Linked DNA regions of Coturnix japonica. The protein of the gene in region 1 purifies or fractionates together with the protein of each later gene. This does not show direct contact. Links are inferred from orthologs where the notes say so. Each region holds a gene or a part of one and is shown on either strand. Other genes may lie near its edges.

Region 1 (4,583 bases):
TTGTGGGACACCAAAGGCACTTCCCCAACCATCTGGGGACACCTTGTGAGTCCCAAAGACAAAGGTGTCCCCACCCAGGGGGGCAGGAACACTGAGGTGCTATGAGAGCAGCTCAAGGACATAGAGACAACCCTCAACTCAAGGACACAAGGACAGCCCCCAACAGGGGGGGATCCCTCCAAAGGGGTTGTCCAGAGTCTCAAAGGTGAGATCATGGGACGGCAGCTCCCTCAAGGAGGCACACACCTAACAGTGTCCCCCCCATACAGGGGGGGCCTCACCACATACCTCAGCAACTCCCATCCCCACCAGCCCCCATAGTGCCACATACAGATCCACCCCGCCCTCGTGCCTGGACACACCACTTCACAACCCCTTTACCTTTAATAAATCCTCAATGAGGCCCTCACCCAGTGCAATATGTGGCCTACGACCCCCCCACCCCTTATACATCCCTCTACTGACCCCAACACAACACCATTCCCCCTTTGGTGTCACCTCCACACCTCATCACACTGTACCCTTCACAACACCATCCCTACGACCCTTTACCCCTCACAAACCCCCTCCATTGACACCTTTAAATGTGAATACACCTACAGCCCCTTCACAACACCATCCCTACAACCCTTTAACCCAAATAAACCCCCTCCAATGACACCTTTATATATGGATACACCTACACCCTTCACAACACCATCCCTACGACCCTTTACCCCTCACAAACCCACCATTGACACCTTTCTATATGGATACACCCACAGCCCCTTCACAACACCATCCCTACGACCCATTACCCCACATAAACCCCCTCCATTGACACCTTTATACATGAATACACCTACAGCCCCTTCACAACACCTTTGTGTTTTGTTGTAAAGGGTCCTTATGACCCTTTACCCCTCACAAACCCCCTCCAATGACACCTTTATATATGGATACACCTACAGCCCCTTCACAACACCATCCTTACAACACTTTACCCCTCACAAACCCCCTCCATTAACACCTTTGTATATGAATACACCTACAGCCCCTTCACAACACCATCCCTACGACCCTTTACCCCACATAAACCCCCTACATTAACACCTTTATATATGGATACACCTACAGCCCCTTCACAACACCATCCCTACGACCCATTACCCCACATAAACCCCCTCCATTGACACCTTTATAAACGGATACAACTACAGTCCCTTCACAACACCATCCTTATGACCCTTTACCCTTCACAAACCCCCTCCAATGACACCTTTATACATGAATACACCTACAGCCCCTTCATAACACCACCCCTACTACCCTTTACCCCACATAAACCCCCTCCAATGACACCTTTATATGTGGATACACCTACAGCTCCTTCACAACACCATCCCTACGACCCTTTACCCCTCACAAACCCCCCACCATTAACACGTTTATATATGGATATACCTACAGGCTTCACAACACCATCCCTATGGCACTTTACCTTTCACAAACCCCCTCCAATGACACCTTTATATATGGATACACCTACAGCCCCATCACAACACCATTTCTACGACCCTTTACCCCTCACAAACCCCCCTTTATTAACACCTTTATATATGGATACACCTATAGCCCCTTCACAACACCATCCCTACGACCCTTTACCCCTCACAAACCCCCCTTTATTAACACCTTTATATATGGATACACCTACAGCCCCTTCATAACACCATCCCTACAACCCTTTACCCTTCACAAACCCCCTCCATTGACACCTTTATATGCGGATACAACTACAGCCCCTTCACAACACCATCCCTACGACCCTTTACCCCACATAAACCCCCTTTATATGTGGATACACTTACAGCCCCTTCACAACACCATCCTTACAACACTTTACCCCTCACAAACCCCCTCCATTAACACCTTTGTATATGGATACACCTACAGCCCCTTCACAACACCATCCCTACGACCCTTTACCCCACATAAACCCCCTCCATTAACACCTTTATATGTGAATACACCTACAGCCCCTTCACAACACCATCCCTACGACCCCTTACCCCTCACAAACCCCCCACCATTAACACCTTTAGATATGGATACACCTACAGCCCCTTCACAACAGCATCCCTAAAACCCTTTACCCTTCACAAACCCCCTCCAATGACACCTTTATATATGGATACACCTACAGCCTCTTCACAACACCATCCCTACAACCCTTTACCCCTCACAAACCCCCTTTATTAACACCTTTATATACAAATACACCTACAGCCCCTTCACAACACCATCCCTACAACCCTTTACCCCTCACAAACCCCCCACCATTAACACGTTTATATATAACCTACAGGCTTCACAACATCATCCCTATGTCACTTTACCCTTCACAAACCCCCTCCAATGACACCTTTATATAGGGATACACCTACAGTCCCTTCACAACACCATCCTTATGACCCTTTACCCCTCACAAACCCCCTTCAATAACACCTTTATATATGGATACACCTACAGCCCCTTCACAACACCATCCCTACGACCCTTTACCCCACATATACCCCCTCTATTGACACCTTTATACGTGGATACACCCACAGCTCCTTCACAACACCATCCCTACGACCCTTTACCCCTCACAAACCCCCTTTATTAACACCTTTATATATGAATACACCTACAGCCCCTTCACAAACCCCCTTATAAGCCCTCCACACCCCCCCCACATCCACCCACCCGTCATTTCAGCACTGCCCCCCACCTCACCGACCCCATTACCACACCAGGCTCCCCCCCACCCATATCTCACCCTCAGCTCCCTGTCGACGAGGCGGGTAATACTTGGTAGCGGCCGCGAAGCGCCCCAAGCTGCCCATAGCGCGCACTGCGGCCGCCATCTTGTTGCGCGCGAGGTCGAATGAGGGAGAGGCCGCCAAGGGAGGGGGGGCTTCGATCCGCCCTTGAGGCTGTCTACACTAGTGCCTGTCTCCGAGCACGATTTGGTTTTGATTCCCTCTCTATTTCATATTATCCATAAAGCTTTAGTGGCTGTAGGTGATAATGTAAAGGTGATATCAGTCTAGCGGAGGAAAAGGATGAAAGGGGGTGTGGGTGAGGCAGCCCTGGAGGCGGGGTGGGGGCCTTCATGAGGGCAGGCGGCGGCGCTGAGAGGACGGGGGTGCGCAGGAGGAGGTGGGAGATTGTTGGGTTTATGAGGGAAAATTGCGATTTAATGGGGGAAATAATGGTTTATGTGGGGAAATAGGGGCTTGTGTGGGTTAAACAGCGTGGAATGTGGGGGGGATTGGGATTAGTTGGCTTTTATGGGCATTTTGGGGGGGGGGTTATTTGGGGGTGAGGCCTAGGAGGGGTAAGGAAGTGATGTGTGTGGTGTTATATGTGTGTATATATGGGGGTGTAGGGGCTGCTATGCAAGCAAAGCAGGTTCTGGGTCTCTATGGGCATTGAGGTGTTTTATTGGGGTCCCTGAGGGTTCCTGGGAGGGAAAAAAGGGAAAAAAAAGAATAAAATAAGGTTTTTATGCGTTTGAGGCAATGAAATCCATGGGTGCTGTGCTTGCGTTGGGTTGGGTATGTGAGAACTGCTCTGGGATATCGGCAGAGGTATGAGGGAAGAGAGGGGAGGCAGAGAGGGAGAGAGAAGATAGATAGAGACAAGAGATAGATAGGATAGAGAAGGGAGGAGGTTTGGTTTATGGGGTCTTTATCTGTGTGAGGAGCTTGATATTGGTTTGTAGGATGCTGCTATAGCCAGAGAGAGTCATAGAACCTTTTAAATTGGAAGGGACCTTTAAAGAGAAGCGCTGAGTGGGATATTCTGCTTATTGTGTGGATGCCCAATGAGGGTTATTGGGGTTAAAGTTAAAGGCCGTGGTGTGAAATGGTGCCAAGGTGAGTGCGTCAGGAGGATCACACTGGTGGTGACGTTGGCTGGGCTCCGGGACGGTATTTCAAGGGGGAAGTGGTGGGATAGTTATTGAGGGGGGAAGCTAAAACTACCAGCTGCTGACAGATCAGAGCTGGGTCCTCCTGGAGATAAGTGTTAATTTACAGGGGTATTAGCAGGCCGCAGTCACAAGCCAGTCACTTCATCTGTTAGATGCTGTAACAGAAAGTAATCTCTGCTGCTCTTGGATCAGCTTCTGTTTCTTCCCTTTCTTTGGCTCTTGTGTGAAGCGAGCAGGTTATTTCCCTTGAAATTAATCCAGATAGGTCAGAGTGGATTATTAACAACCTTTTTCCACTTCTAGATATCAAAATGACTTCTATGCTGAGCCATACCGTCCGAAACCTCCCTGCTTCTTCAGCATGGGCCATCAGGGTCTGTAAGTATGTTTACATTTATCAGAACCTTGACGTGTCAGGTTGTTACCTGTGTTTAGGTTGGATGTTAGGGGGAAGTTCTTCACTAGGAGAGTGGTTAGGCCCTGGAACAGGCTGCACAGGGAGGTTGTGGATGCCCCGTTCTTGGAGGTGTTCAAGACCAGGTTGGACGGGGCCCTGGGCAACCTGATCTATGGGGTCTCTATGGGGATCTATGGGGTCTCCTGGGCAACCTGATCTAGTAAA
Region 2 (3,811 bases), on another chromosome or scaffold:
AATTGCCTGAAAATAGAGTCTTGTAGATGACACTGCAACCCCTCTGTGGCAGCAAAGTTGAACTGCAAGCTCTGTGATGTTACAGGAGATGCTATTTCACAGAACACGAAAACATAACAACTCACATGGCATGTTTAGCTTTAGGTGTGACTGTGCATGCTGTTAAATCCTATATGACAGAGCAGAGCACAGACTGTGCCCTGCATGGGCATGATCTGGTATCTTCTGTGGATTTGTGCTATCCCTTCTGTAGTACTTGCCCAGGATGCTCATTCAGTGGGAGCAGTCAGGACCTGAACATTAGCCATGCAGTATCAAAGAGAACATATTTTTGAGGGCTGTGCATGCTGTTACATTGACAGCAGTGGACTCAGGATCAGGCCATCCTTGTTAACATTGTGCTTCCACTGTGGACCTACTGCCTCTGCACAGTGTCTGCAGGACCTCATGGAAGGCATCTGGGGCCTTTCTGCCAACTCCTACTGCTTTGCACAGACAAGGGACTGAATACACGTTTGAAGTGATGTTGGTCCCCATTTGTGCCCTGGCTGGGTGGACCCCTGCTCACAGGAAATCCTATTGTGCAGCTGAGTGGCACTGCGTGCTATGGGATGGTGTAGAATGGTGTGTTCTACTGATGCCCTGCTGAACTGCTGGGCACAGCTCACCTGGTGGTTTCCTTGCTCATGAATATCAGCACAACGAACATGTGCAGAATAAGCTTTCTGCAGCATCACACCATCTGCTGTGACAGTCTCCTGCCAGACTGATGGGGAAGGTATTAGGATCTAGGATAGAAAATTAATCTCTGCTAAAGAATGAGTTCTTCAGCCTGGACCCTGGGATTTGACCCCCTTTGTGCAGAGAAGGAAAATCAACATCACAGGTGTTTTCTTCCATATGGAGAAGCCGCAGGAACATGAGGTACTTTCTGTTCTATATGAGCGAGAGCCACCCCTGCTCTCTGCTACATCTCTTCCCCTGCCAGGAAGCATTTGGTGTGTCCTGCGGAATGCAAGACCACACGGGAGTCATCTGAGGTCACAAGGAGCTGCCAAGTCCCTAAATCCTCATGGTCTGGCCTTCAGGCTGCTTGGAACAGAGATGGTAGAAAACTGAGGCGGCAGCAGCTCTGCAGCGGCTATTTTGACTGACAAAGCCAGCCCTGGTTACAAACCTAATTTAGGTGTCTGAGACCTGTCCAAAGCTCCTGCTTAACTCTGGCTGGAGATCAGCCAAGGAGATCAGCTTTCCTACGTGTGGCATTCCCCAGTGCCCCATGACCTGTGTGCACACAGTCTGTCTTTCCTTCAGACCCACAGAGCACTGAAAATCTTCTCCATAGGCAGAGGCTGGTTATAGTCCCAAAACACAGTCCCAAAACAGCCATGGTGGCGGGCACCTCCAGGTCAGGCAGGAGCACTTGGAGAGCAGAGCTTTACAAGATAGGAGGAGCTGAGAGCAATAGGCATGTCCTCAGTCACACTCAGTCCCACTGATCAGTTTAGTTGTGGGCTTCACAGTCTGCTCTTTTGCCCTTAGTACATGATATTTCCTTTTTCTTGCTCTTTCGCTGCCTCAGAAGCTGTTGCTCCCATCCAGTACCTTTGGCACCACATCCACCCTTTAGACAGCTGTGCCATTCTGGAGGATAATGAGCATAGGTTTAAAAAGCAGTGAAAATGGAGAGATATCCTCCAGCAGATCTTCCAAGAGGCCAACCCTGTAGTGCACCCAGCATGAGCATGAGCTTTAACATGGTTTGTCTGATGAAGGGATGTCTCTGTGTTATTTTACCAGATGCGCTGGTTGCTGTGGCTGATCGGATTGATGGACCATACAATGTAGACACAGTAATAGGGACTATTCACATGAGGATCTCTGAAGCTATTTCTAACTTGCAAGAAAACAAAGTTTCAATCACAGCCAAGGTAAGAGCGTGTGCCTGGGCCTGGCCTAGGGTACACCATGTGTAATTGCCTGGATCAAATGGTTTTTGTTCTCACTGCTGAATTGAATAAAGGGTAGGAAAGAAGAAGGAGAGATGATGCACACTCTTTTGATGATAGGAAAGTACTGTCTTAGGCAGACAACAACCTTCTGAGGTATTTCCAAATGCTTCTCTCTGCCACAGTCAGCTTTCCTTAGGTACAGACACGCAGGCGGGACAGCACTTGCAGTGACTGTGGGCAACATGGTGTATTTGCTGTCAGGTGCCTCTGTCTGAAGAGCACTGAAGTATTCTGACTGAGCTGGGGCATTTAGAGGAAGTGTACAGTTCTTCTTACACTAGCAACAGAATGCAGCAGCTTCAGCCTGCCTCGGGGTGATGATCTGCAATAGAAACACCATTCCATCAGGCTGTGGGGCAGAGCTGTGGTTTAGCAGTCCATCTGGAGGGGCTCTCCTGATGCCCACCCATCTTTCAAGAAACATATCATGAACATTTGTCTTTCTGCTTGTCTTCTTTTTGTGTGTGTTTGTGTGGCTTCTATAGCTGCAGGTGGGAGTACCTCCAGGGCTTCTGATTCAGCCCAGGGGTTCCCTGAGCCCTGCAGCTATCCCACAGTTAAGGCTAAGATGCAGATGGTGTGTGGCAGGCCCTAACTGCATCTTGGAGAGGAGAAGGAAGAAAATTATTGCTTAACCAAGCAGGAATTCACTAGCACAAATCACAGCATTAATGGGGATATGTATCCGAGGACTCGTTTAGGTTTATTTTCTAACGTGAAAGACCATATTCTTTCTCTCAGTGTTAGGTTGGAAGAAATTGTACACTTAAAAGCAAGCCCATCTTGCCCATCAGGCACATAAAATAAGCCCGTCAGGAGTCATCTGAAAAGAAGGATGTTTCCAAGGGACATAGAATAAGTCTGGTAAAATTAAAGGAGATTAAATAGTCCAGTGTAGTCAGTGTCTGACTAGAAAACAGAACTTATTTGCTAAAGTTCTCAGTGAGATCTAGTGGCCAGGTGAGTTTGGCACCGGTAGTGGATGTTTGGAGCTGCAGATTGATGCGGCTGCGGGCTCTGATTTGGGCGCAGCACAATGATCTGGTGGAGTATCACTGTCAGATGAATCAGAGAATCACAGAATTGCTCAGGTTGGAAAAGACCTTAAAGATCATCAGGTCCAACCGCAACCTGACCATACTACCCTGGGCCCGGGGTTCGAATCCCCCCTGTGGTGCAAGTGGTAGAAGTGCCGCTCTGCAGCACAGAGGCTCGAATCCCGGGAGTTGGACTCGATGATCTCTAAGGTCCCTTCCAACCCGCACGATACTATTACTATTACTATTATTACTATTACCCTCACTCTAACAGCTCTCCGCGAAGTCTTGTTCCTGAGCACCACATCAAGACGGTTTTTAAACAGTCAGTCATGCTGACTCAACCACCTCCATGGAGAACCCATTCCAGTGCTTAACAACACTTTCTGTAAAGTTTTTCCTGATATTCAACCTAAACCTCCCCTGACACAACTTGAGGCCATTTCCCCTCTTCCTGTCAAAAGTGAGAGGAGACCAGTCCCTCTCACTGCAGTCACCTTTCAGGTATTGGAAGAGAACAATAAGGTCTCCCCTCAGCCTCCTTTTCCCCAGACTAAACAGCCCCGGTTCCTTTAGTAGCTCCTTGTAGGGCATATTCTCCAAGCCCAGGCCTAGCCCAGGCTGCTACCCTCCCTCAGCTACAAAAGCTGCTTGGTGTGTAGGTAAGTGACCTTATCAGGGAAGCTGTAGTTACAAAGCCCCCACCACTGATGTAACAACTGTGAGCAATTCCCAGCTTATTCTTCTCAGACTTCCCAGAAC

The links.
Region 2: the proteins of HADHA (region 1) and GPC1 purify together in Homo sapiens (co-immunoprecipitation; 3 studies listed by BioGRID and IntAct, with this or other methods). This does not show direct contact. The link is inferred for Coturnix japonica from reciprocal best matches to the Homo sapiens genes HADHA and GPC1.

Annotation. Positions count from the first base shown.
Region 1 is NC_029518.1:95,817,292-95,821,874, forward strand, and holds the start of HADHA (trifunctional enzyme subunit alpha, mitochondrial), read right to left. Parts: upstream 2,936-4,583; 5' UTR 2,892-2,935; coding exon 2,804-2,891; intron 1-2,803. Other genes in the region: HADHB (trifunctional enzyme subunit beta, mitochondrial), read left to right, coding at 3,854-3,905, 4,265-4,339. UniProt on the Homo sapiens protein: Mitochondrial trifunctional enzyme catalyzes the last three of the four reactions of the mitochondrial beta-oxidation pathway.
Region 2 is NC_029524.1:621,355-625,165, forward strand, and holds part of GPC1 (glypican-1), read left to right. Parts: intron 1-1,800; coding exon 1,801-1,931; intron 1,932-3,811. UniProt on the Homo sapiens protein: Cell surface proteoglycan that bears heparan sulfate. Binds, via the heparan sulfate side chains, alpha-4 (V) collagen and participates in Schwann cell myelination.